Tamandua tetradactyla: one gene and its partners. The protein of the gene in region 2 interacts with the protein of the main gene of each other region in a pairwise test. Links are inferred from orthologs where the notes say so. Each region holds a gene or a part of one and is shown on either strand. Other genes may lie near its edges. The genes, in order: TNFAIP8, SDCBP and MEOX2.

Region 1 (3,821 bases), on a different chromosome or scaffold from region 2:
CACTGCCCAGTACCGAGTATGCTCTGTCAGTGTGAGTCCCCATCTTTCTCTAGGTGTCAACCATGCACTGCTCTGCCTAGGCGAGGCCTCCCTTGGGTGGGAGAGGGTGAGTCTGACGGTCCACGTCTCTGTGATAACATCTGGAAAGACTTCTGGAACCGTGCCACTCTTGGGCACTGAGGTTCCTGGAACAATGCCCGCTCAGCCTACCTTTCTCCCCGCTTGCTTTGCCAGGGACAAAGAGGAGTGAACTGAATCAAGGAGGGGGCTCTGGTTTGGGGTTTGGGGCCATGGTTTTAGGCAGGCCAGTGAGAAGCATGAGGTAGCTGGGATCTGGCAGTGGAGGGGGGTCTTGGGAGGACTGATGGAGAGAGGGAAGGGCTAAGCAAAAAGAAAACAAAATATTGTGCTCTAGGGACTAGGGAGCCTAATGGGAAAGCCAAAGCAGAAAGGCCAAGGTTTTTCGTAGATGTTTTCAGTTCCATCTGTGAGGCTATAGAATCAGAAGAAAGCAACAAGTGAAGGTATCGTTTTCATGCAGGCACAAATTTTATCACTCTTGTGGTGATTTTGTTGAATGTGCTGCTGATAAGGATGTGGGTGGCTGTAAAGGAAATGTTTTTCTCAGGGTAAGTAAAAAAGCAGTCGTCTAGGCTAGAAAGAGGGTGTGTGTTCTGGAGATTGCTCTGGGAGGGTCAAGGCCTCTCGTGGCTTCTCTTCTCAGCCCTGCCCTGTCTTGCAGGGCCATGTTGAATATTCTGCTTAACCTCATTTGCTTTGCCACTCTCTTTGGAAACTGGGATTGTCAGCCACTTTTCCTGGGTGTGGGGAGAGTGAAATGATTGCAGTGATAGTGCCCTACTCTGAGATGCCTGGATAATGTGTAGTACATGCATACAGAGGTGGGGAATCTGGTTGTCTAATAGCCACCATCCTCGTGGTTGCAGATAGATGGAGAAGAAGTGCTAGATAAGATGGAAACAGACTCCCCTAAGGATGGCTTCTTTAGTATCAGTGTGAAGCTCCAAAAGCTGGCATGAGTCAGTTGTACTCCAGGGGCTGGGGGTGGGGGTGGGAGGTGGGAATGCCGAGCAGCAGTGTGTTTTGGCTTCAGTGCTGTTTGCTCACCCAAGAAAGAGAGAAAGGACCACCTGGGTTCCTGAGCCCAGGTTGCTTCAACAACCCGGGTCTGGACAGATTCCTCAGCCACTAAGCTGTGGCCTGGGCATCTGGGGCTGGAAGGCACAGTTACCTCCTCTCTCCTCCCTGCCTCAGAATATGGGTGATGTCTCTCTGCATGGACTGATCATCACAATTGTTGGAGAGTTGAATCTACTGCAAGTGTCTTTTTTTTTTAATTTAATATTTTCATTGACACATCTTCAAACACATAGAGTCCATACATGGTGTACAATCAGTGGCTCACAGTATCATCATATAGTTGTATATCCATTACCATGATCATTTTTAGAGCATTTGCATCACTCCAGAAAAAGAAATAATAAGAAAAAAGAAAAAAATTCATACATCCCATACACCTCCCTCTCATTGACCACTAGTATTTCCATCTACCCAATTTACTTTATCCCTTATCCCCCCTATTGCTTATCTATCCATATTTTTTTTACTCACCTGTCATTACCCTGGATAAATGGAGCATCAGACACAAAATTTTCACAATCACATAGTCATATCATGAAAGTTCTATCTTTATGCAGTCATCCTCAAGAATCAAGGCTACTGGGACACAGCTCAACAGTTTCGGGTACTTCCCTCCAGCCACTCCAATATACCATAAACTAAAAAGGGATATCTATTAAATGCATAAGAATAACCTCCAGGGTAACCTCTCAGCTCTGTTTGAAATCTCTCAGCCACTGAAACTTTCATTTGTCTCATTTCTCTCTTTCCCCTTTTGGTCAAGAAAGCTTTTTCAATCCCACGATGCCAGGTCCCAGCTCATCCCAGGAACTCTGTACCACATTGCTAGGGAGATTTATACCCCTGGGAGTCATGTTCCACTTTGGGGAGAGCAGTGAATCCATCTGCCAAGTTGGCTTAGAGAGAGAGGCCACATCTGAGCAACAAAAGAGGTTCTCTGGGGGTAACTCTTAGGCATAATTATAAGTAGTCTTAGCGTCTTCTTTGCAGGAATAAGTTTTCATAGTGGCAAACAGAGATCAGGGATGTCTTAAGTGAGAATGAGATCCTGCAGATTTTTGGTCTGTCCACATGCTTTACTTTTTATTCCCCCATTGCTGGAGAACTCTCTCCAGAATCAGGGATGTCCTGCTGGGTGTGTAGGTGCCCAGCAATGAATACAGCTGTAGTGCTTGTAGCCTTCTCTGCCCTTAGCTGGGGTGCGCCCTTATCTCTGCGCCTTACCTTACTGCTTGCCTCTTGACTGGGTGGAGGGCTCTGCCACCCTGTCTGTGGGGTTTTTTTTTGGTGTGTGGGGCTGTCAGATTCTTCCTTCAGATTTCCCTTACTTACTCTGCTGCTCTGTCCTCTCCTAGTAGTAGCAGACAGTGGTTCCTGGTGGCTGCCTCGTCATTTAGCTATCACTGAGGCCACATTTTAGGGAAATGGGAGAAACTGCTTCTCTCTTTAGATGTACCATTTCTTTGTAACCTTGTAGCTTACCCTTGGAATTGCCGGTGATTCAGAGTTTGGGAAGTTCTTGTGATTTAGAATCCCGCACTTCCAGGAAGATTTTTTTCTTGACTTTTTTTTTTTTTTACCCTAAGTCCCTGATAATGTTGTCATAACATTAAGGGGCCAGCCAGAATTTGGAGCTATAACACAAAGGAACACAAAAGGAATGTCCTGCTCTGGCTTCTAAGGTAAAAAATTCAAACATCTATGGGTTAGTTACGTATTGAGGTGGGCTAGTGAAAATAAGAAATGTGTAGATATGTTTGTAAAAATGGTGTTGATCTGGTATCCTTTTCAGTCTCCTACCCAAATTAGCAGGAGGGACTTGATTTCCATTCCGGTCAACAATAATGCTTGTTACTGTTTGAGCCTTCACTGCACATCAGAAAATATGTTTTCTGCTTCACCTGGTCCTTATTCAGTCTTGATAGCAATTCTATGAGACTGGTGATGATATTCCTGTTTTTTACAGGAGAGCAAAACTGCTCAGAGAAGTTAGGCAACTTACAAGTCTACAGAACCAGAGAATGCCAGAGCTGGAATGTGAATCATGCCTAGAGGACCCCAGAGCACTTGTTCATTGTGTTCCACTTGGTTTCTTTTCTTTGTCCTCCCTGCATGCTGGGTAAGCTCAAGGCACAGTGTTCCTGCCACAGAGGATAAACATAAAAGCAAGATGCTTACCATGCAGTGGGAAGCGAGATATTTATTGAACCAAGATAATATAAGGACAACTGTGATAGGTTCCCAAAAAGTGCTACCGAGAAATGAGGTGCCTGGGGGGTTAAAATAATCGAAACCTAACTGGGGGCATCAGGAAAAGGCTTCATGGAGGTGGTGCCCTTGAAGTGGGCCTTACAGGATTGGCACTGTGCTCACAGATGGGTTTGGACAAGGGAAAGATATGTGGGTGATGAGGACTGTCAGATGCCCAGGAAAATAAATATATTTCTAGAGAGATTATTACACTGTAGATATGCACATATGTGCAGGTATGTATGTATGTACAGTATATGCTGTGCCCGTATACAGTCACAGTATTTTTATGAAAACTTTATGTTCTCTTCAAAAGCAAAGGCTAATCATTTTAAGTAGCAAAGTTATACGCTCTGAGAATAGGAACACCTCTAAGCAGTAGTCACTGTTTATAGAAATTCATGTTTATA
Region 2 (3,821 bases):
TATATACCTTCCTCTATTTAACTCACATTCCATCCAAGACCAAACCTTATTGACTCTTTATTCTAATAGTTCCTGAATTTGTCCAGTTTTCCCCAATGACAAATTGTCACATCTGGACTACTACAATAATCTTCTAGTGGGTCTCCCCATATCCCAGATGTCCTCATGTCCAATCCATTCTCCTAGCAGTAGCCAGAGTAATCTTTGAAAAAGGCAAATTTAATCACATTATGTTTTCAGTAGCTTCAATTGCCTACTTCTCCAGTTTCATCTTAAACCATTCCCTCTCTTAGCTTTTTGTTCTGGCCCCAATACCTTTCACCTTCTGGAATGCACCAAGTTTCATTTAAACTCTTTGCCAGAGCTATTCCCTTGCCTGAAACACTTTTCCTCCCTTCGCTATTTGGCTAATTCTTACTCATCAGTTTAAAAGCCACATATTTAAGCCTCCCTTGAACTCCTAGACTAATTTTGGCTTCCGTGTAATATCTTTCCATAGTCTCCTGCACTTTTTCTTCAAGCACCCATTTCAACTGTTAGTATACATATTTTTAAATGTCTGTTTCATCAGCTAGATGGGAGGCTCCACGAAAACAAATTTTTCCTCTTATTTCCATTTGAGCTATTTTATCCTCAGACTTGTATTATTTTACCCCGGAAGACAATTCTGGCATTGAATAATTTAAATAGGCAAAAAAAAAAAAATCCTGTTTGTTAAAGGTATTATGTCACGTAGTCTATGGAATTCTCTGCTAAGTACGTTTATATACTCTTAGGTGACCTGGACCTCAGTTTCTTTGTCTGTAAAGTGGGGATGTCGTAGCTACCTTACAGATTAATGTAAGGTAAGGTACAAATAAGACCGTATACATCAAGTTCTTAGAGCTTCCAGGAGAGTTGCAAAAATCTCAAGGTGATAGTTGTATTAGGATCCGGCTATTGCTTTTGTGCCACACCAGACATGCCTTCAACAGCCAACCAACGTTCGCTCTGACATTGCCCAGAGTAATAAAAGAGAAAAAAGCAATAGAGAAACAGGACAGGAGTTGCGAAACGGCGTGGGAGGCAGCGCGGAGTTAGTGACACAGACCGCAGTGGGGAAGTCACAGGCTGGGGGAGGAGGCCCGGGACCTCGGGACTCTCTTTCTTTGAAGGCGACGTGAGGGGGGCGGGGACCCCAGCAGCGGGGCAGCTAGTGCCGCCCCCACCCCGCCCCCAATCCGGTTGCCCAGCGACCGGGTCAGCTGATGGCGGTGGCGCGCACGCGCGGACGGAAGGCGGGGGCGGCGCCGTGACGCTCCGGGCTGGCGGGTGGCTCCCCCGGCGCGCGTCGCTTTCCTGCCCTCAGGTTTCTAAGTCTTGCGAGGAGAGGGTGTCGGCGAGCGGTCCTGCGGTCCTGCGGTCCTGCGGCCCAGGTGAGCGGCTCGGGGCTCGGGGCGGTCCGGGCGCGGATACGAGAGGACTCCGGGTCCCTTGGAGAGAGCGTCCTGGGTCAGGGGCTTTCGGGGGGCGGCGGCGGCGCCCTCTGCTCTACGGGCCCTGCGCCCAGCCCGCGCCCTCCCCTCGCCTTGCCGGGCCCGGGGCGGAAGTTTGCGGCCGGGGCCCTCTGCCAGCAGGGTTCCTGCGGGTTGGGGTCCCGGTCCGGCTGGGCACAGCAGCTGGCTGTGGGACCCTCGGACCGCCCCTGGCGAGCCTTTTTGTTCCTCCGGGGTAAGATCACGGGAGAGCGGGTGCTTGCGGTCGGTCACGGGTTCCGCGTTCTCGGGGCTGTACTTAATTCCCCTCCTCGGCGGCTGGTCGGCGGGAGCGTCCCAGCTTTGCTAGGAGGAAGGAGGTGTTTGCTTAGTGGGCGAAGCCTCGACTTTCTGGAAGGGGGAGGGGGTGGGGTTGTACACTCCGCGCTTCTTTCTGGAGAAGTTGGAAATGGAGAAACATTTCCAGCAGGGTGTGTTCAGGAGGAAATATCCCTTGAGAGCTGGTGACTCAGAGCTTTCGTTTCAGGATTTCATTGGAATAGTGGGAAAGTGAAGGCACAGGGATGTGGAAAGTTTTTATTCGCATCCAGGTGGAATTACTGAACTGGGGAGTTTTCTAATGTACTGGTTTTTTGAAAGGAATTTTAGGTATATCTAGTCCGTATGGATTGTCTGCATGCACATTTTCTATCTTTGATTTGTTTATGTTTTGTATTATATAAGGACGTTACTTAGAAAGTGCCCTTGGTTTACCAGACTCCAACATTCACTTGATCCAAAGAGAAGACAGCTGATTAAAAAGAAACATTGCGTTGAGAATATGTTGCAGTTCTTGTTCATTTGATTTTCCTGAAATGTATATAAGTGATAGATTAAGACTCAAGTTTGCCTCATTCTTTCCTTTTTTAAATTTCAGGTTGAGGGCAAACAGTAAAAAAAAAAAAGTCTCAATTTCGTTACCGTCTTAGTTCTCTAAGCGTTTGAGCAGCAAATAGTGTATATATATATTATAGATCAAGTGATATGTGCCACAGAATAAAACTAAGGAAGTGGAATAACTAAGGAAGTAGTTACTCCATTGTAATCCAAATTAAACTTTTGCAGAAAAACTTTTTACGTATGTTTTGGACATTGTAAGAAAGGATATTAAAAGCCATGCCCCAAAGGGGAAAAATTTACTAATAGTTAAATATACTGTTTAGTAAAACAGTTCCCTAAAATGAGGGTGAATGACTTTTTCCCTGTCTTTGCTAAACTGAGGTACCTTTTTGGGCCAGTAAATGCCTAAATTTCCTAAAATGAAAACGACTGTCCCTAACAACCTTACAGTACTTTCTCATGTCTAGTAATAGTTATAGTAACATTTATTAATTTCTTTCCAAGTGCTGTTAACAGTTTTCGGTAACCTTATTTCATTTTTGGTAAGATAATACAGTCGTATGGGTCAAAATTTAGCAAGTAAAGAAGTCTTTAGTATGAAATTCACCCAGTCTATGCCTCCATTCAACTGTTTTCCCTTACTGTGGGCAACCAACTGTTAAAACATGTCTTAAGTATTCATTCAGGGGTATTTATACGTATACAAATATCACATAAATATTCTTTTCCCATCCTCTTATCTCAAATATAAGCTTACTGCTCTACATAGAACCTTTCGTTTTTTCGGGTACTGATGGTATTTTGGTGCTCTTTCAATGTCAGCACATAGAGAACTTCTCATTTGTTTCCATTGTTCTGCTGTTAAAATCAGTATGGCAGTGAGTAAACATCTATTTGTCACTTCCTACAGGCACAACTTTATTTGTAGCTTAACATGTAGAGGTATTGCTGGGTCAGAGAATATCTACATTTATAATTTTGGTAGATATTGCAGATTCATGAGGGTTGTATGAGTTTAGCCTCCCACTAGTATGGGAAGGGAGTGTTTCCCAAGGCTAAATTCCCAAGGCTAAATTCAAGAGTGTGTTGTCAAATTTTGGATTTTTGCCAGTCCAATCCAGTAGGTGAGAAATGGAATCTTATGGATAAGAAGAAATATTCTACAAAGAGTAGATTTCATATGGCCATATTTCTCAGTGGCTAATCATCAGAATTTCCCTGGATATCTTAAAAAATTGCTCTTTGAACATAATAGTCTCATGTACATTTCCTAAGATCAAGGCTATTCGCTTGTGATCACTGTAAGTACAGTTATATAAGTTCAAGAACTTTAACATTTATTAAGTTTCCAGTCTATGTTACATTTTTTTCACATGTCCCAGTAATGTTCTTTTGGGCCTTTTCTTCTCCATTATTAGAGCCAGTCCAGAATCATGTATTCATTTGTCATTGTCTCCTTAGTTCTTT
Region 3 (3,600 bases), on a different chromosome or scaffold from region 2:
TGGGGACACCGCTAAAGGTTAATCAATACTTTTTCATAACTCAAACCAGATGGCTGGAGCAGTTTGCTGTCCCCATTAATTTCATTAACAGCTTCAAAGTTCTGGTCACCGCCCTCTGGACACCTGAGACAATGAAAATAACCCGGCGCCTTTGCTAGTGGCTCGCTCGAGGCCGCGGGCGAGATATGTGACCGCAGATGCTATCCTGATGCTACAAGTGTCAGGGGACCCGCACTTCAGGCAGCTCAAGACGCGCCGCTCGCTTGTCTTGTGCAAGACTCGGCCCCAGCACACCGGGTCGTCCCCTATGTAAGTGGCAGTATTAGAGGCAACACTTGGCCCTCTTTGGAAGGAAAATCGAGTCCAGCCCTCGCTCGCCGGTACTCACTGGTGGCAAGTTTTCTGGCATGCAAAATTATAACCAGTAAAACCTGATGCTCTTAAGTTTAGGGAAGGGGAAGTGGGGTTTTGGAACGCAATATTTCTCGATAAATGGATCCATAATGGGGGGGGGAGGGTAGGGAGGGGTGCGAGCAGCTGATTTATTTTGAGAGGATGAGAAGGTGGGTTGCAAGAGGGGAATTGGGCGGCTCAGGCTCCCGAGGGCAAAGGCTGGAAATGTGCACATAATCAAAACGTCTCAAGTGGCCGAGACGTGAGCGCTTCGGAATAATCCCGACCCGGGAAAAGTTTTTGGTGGACAAGTGGTTTAGGGAATTGAGCGGGTCCAGGACAGGGTGGAGGTGGGCGTTTGCGAGGAGCGGGGAGAAGGGAGGCCCCACCCGGCCTCGCAGGTGAGGAGGTCAGGACCTGTGTGTCTGCAATGTCTCGGGCCCACGCTTTCCTCCACCTTCCCCAGGCCTTCTCCTGCAGGCACCGAAGACAGCCTTTCGCGGCCGGGCGCACCTCTGCAACCTCGGCCCCGGCGTCGGAGCCCGTCGCCACCCAGCCGGCGGGACCAGATGCGATGGGGAGGGCGCGGTTGCGTCCGGGGCGCAGGGCACGAGAAATTTTGCAAACTCAAGTTTCAGAGTACGAGCCCAACTAGCGCTCACCTTTTCCCTCAACCCTATCGGCCTTTCCGTGTTCCTCAAAGGCTGGGCGCCCCACCCCCCTCCCCAGCTTTTCCTGCAGGTGACAGTTCCTACGTGACACTGAAAGAGAACTGGGCGAGTGGGGCACTGGGTGCTGGCCTGGAGCTGGCTGGCGTCACGCGCCTTTGCCGCCGGGAGCTTAGCGCAGAGCAGCCGAGCGTCGGGGCTGCGGCGGGGCGGCGGGTCTGAGCGCGCGGCGGGGGCCCAGCCCCGGGAGGAAGTGAGCTCCGAGCGCGCCGCGCTGACTGAGCGAGCGGTTTGGAGGGAGTTTGCTTGTGGTCAGCGCCGGGCTCCTGAGCCAGCCCCCAGCTCACATTACACTCTATTTATAACCTCCCAGAGCCGCTTCCCCCTGAAAGCGGTTCTCTGGGACCACCTTCTTTTGGCTGAACCTCTCCTCCTCTAGACCTCTGAGTGGTTCGAAGGGAAGCGCCCCCAGGTCCAAGCGTGTAAGCGTAGAGAAGGCTGGCCGCTAGGGCTCGGCGCCGGGGTTATCCACGCTCTGCAGAAGCGTGTGCTGCTATTGCTTTGGGAGGGGGGGAAAAAACCCCACTGTCTCCAGTGAAAACCGACAGAGGCTGGTGGAGTTCGGAACCTTCGCGAAGTCTTCCGCCTGGAAGCCGAGACGCGCATGCTATGGAACACCCGCTCTTCGGCTGCCTGCGCAGCCCTCACGCCGCGGCGCAAGGCTTGCACCCGTTCTCCCAGTCCTCACTCGCCCTTCATGGAAGATCTGACCACATGTCCTACCCCGAGCTCTCCACTTCTTCCTCCTCTTGCATAATCGCGGGATACCCCAACGAGGAGGGCATGTTCGCCAGCCAGCATCCCAGGGGCCACCACCACCACCATCACCACCACCACCACCACCACCAGCCTCAGCAGCACCAGGCTCTGCAGACCAGCTGGCACCTCCCGCAGATGTCCTCGCCCCCGAGCGCGGCTCGGCACAGCCTGTGCCTCCAGCCGGACTCCGGAGGCCCCCCGGAGCTGGGCAACAGCCCGCCAGTCCTGTGTTCCAATTCTCCCAGTTTGGGTTCCAACACCCCGACGGGTGCAACGTGCGCGCCGGGAGACTACGGCCGCCAGGCGCTGTCGCCTGCGGAGGCGGAGAAGAGAAGTGGCGGCAAGAGGAAGAGCGACAGCTCAGGTAAGCGCACCAGTTGTGAAGGGGGCGGGGAAACGCCACCAAAGATTTCTCTCAATTAAAGTGGAGCGGCCGAAAGATGCAACCTGTCTTTCCTTGGCGTCCCCGCCGCCGAATCCAGCCGGGCTGCTCTGGTTGTGTCAGCAGCAGGCGGGGAGGCAGGGGGCCAAAGGCACACGTTTCTCCCAGGACAGAACGTACGCAGACAGCCAGCTGCCCTGAGCTCTCTCAGGTTCCCAACTAGTTTACCAGAGGGTCGAGAAAAAAAGGACAAGTGTCTGTGTGAGAAATCGATTTGCGAACCGTGTCCTTCCTTCGGAGGGCTAGGGAAAGGGAGTGTCCCCGGGATGCAGCGTCTGCTGGAGACTGCGAGTGGGTGCCACCCTTTGACTTCTCCCTTGCAAGTTCCCCACTCAGAGTGGCTCGATTTTTCCCACCGTTAACTGGAGTTCCGAATTATTGCACAATATTTGGAACTTGCAATGGAACTTGGCAGAGCGCATGAGAAAAAAAAGTTCAAGGTTTTTTTTCCCCCTTAATTCTGATTTCAGAGTTCTTTAAATAGCACCCTATTCCAAATGGCAAAAATTTCCCCTTGCTTGGGAAGGAAAACAGTATAGGAATTAGAAGATTAAGGAATGTGCAGATATGTAAGTAAATAAATAGATGTTCAGACTCTGAAGGAAAGACAATAATAGTAGTTCATATTCATGTGGTGCGAATGTGAAGACGCGGAGTTTCGAAAGTGAAAAGAAATCCTCCCCAAATTGAGTGTTATCCAGGGCAGGCACTGGAGGCGAACAGCAGCTCGGTAGTGCTGGCTCCCTGCGGGCCCAGGGCTCCTGTGCGCAGATGGGCGCAGAAGGCGCTTTTCTGCGCGCGGGTGTTGAATAGCCACGCAAAGGAGCCTTCCTGAACTCGGATGCTGGAAGGTACAACTGCCAAGTTCATTGTAGCAATCCAGAAAAACGCCAAGTTCTCCTAAAAGCTCTTACCAATCTGTATCCTTCTGAAATCGAGTTTACAATAAAGGAGGTTCTAAGTTGTATTTCTGCAGCTGCCATGCAACTTGAGTTCCATCTTTTCCGAAGCTGTCATTTGTTTAATATAATACTTGCATATTTTTCTCCCTTTGTGGGATCGGTTTAATAGTCTTAGAAGGTAATCACAGCTAATGGTTTGAAGTGTTGCAAAATTTTAATTGGTTATAAAACTGTAGGTGCGACCCCCACACCCATGCCAATGAGTGAGCCCCGTACTTCACACTCTGCAGCGATGGGGTCGATTGTTCTGCTTTAGTATGGGATGTGTTCTTGGGTCATAATCTCAAAATCTGGCTTTTACTTTCCAAGGTCAGGG

Evidence for each region.
Region 1: the proteins of SDCBP (region 2) and TNFAIP8 interact in binary tests that used the Homo sapiens proteins (3 or more experiments, as listed by UniProt). The two-hybrid records come from large-scale screens. The link is inferred for Tamandua tetradactyla from reciprocal best matches to the Homo sapiens genes SDCBP and TNFAIP8.
Region 3: the proteins of SDCBP (region 2) and MEOX2 interact in a two-hybrid assay, tested with the Homo sapiens proteins (2 studies listed by BioGRID and IntAct). The link is inferred for Tamandua tetradactyla from reciprocal best matches to the Homo sapiens genes SDCBP and MEOX2.

What each region holds. Positions count from the first base shown.
Region 1 is NC_135347.1:9,095,650-9,099,470, reverse strand, and holds the start of TNFAIP8 (tumor necrosis factor alpha-induced protein 8), read left to right. Parts: upstream 1-1,098; 5' UTR 1,099-3,821. UniProt on the Homo sapiens protein: Acts as a negative mediator of apoptosis and may play a role in tumor progression.
Region 2 is NC_135332.1:101,847,651-101,851,471, forward strand, and holds the start of SDCBP (syntenin-1), read left to right. Parts: upstream 1-1,281; 5' UTR 1,282-1,415; intron 1,416-3,821. UniProt on the Homo sapiens protein: Multifunctional adapter protein involved in diverse array of functions including trafficking of transmembrane proteins, neuro and immunomodulation, exosome biogenesis, and tumorigenesis.
Region 3 is NC_135327.1:108,686,557-108,690,156, forward strand, and holds the start of MEOX2 (homeobox protein MOX-2), read left to right. Parts: upstream 1-1,395; 5' UTR 1,396-1,730; coding exon 1,731-2,244; intron 2,245-3,600. UniProt on the Homo sapiens protein: Mesodermal transcription factor that plays a key role in somitogenesis and somitogenesis and limb muscle differentiation. Required during limb development for normal appendicular muscle formation and for the normal regulation of myogenic genes.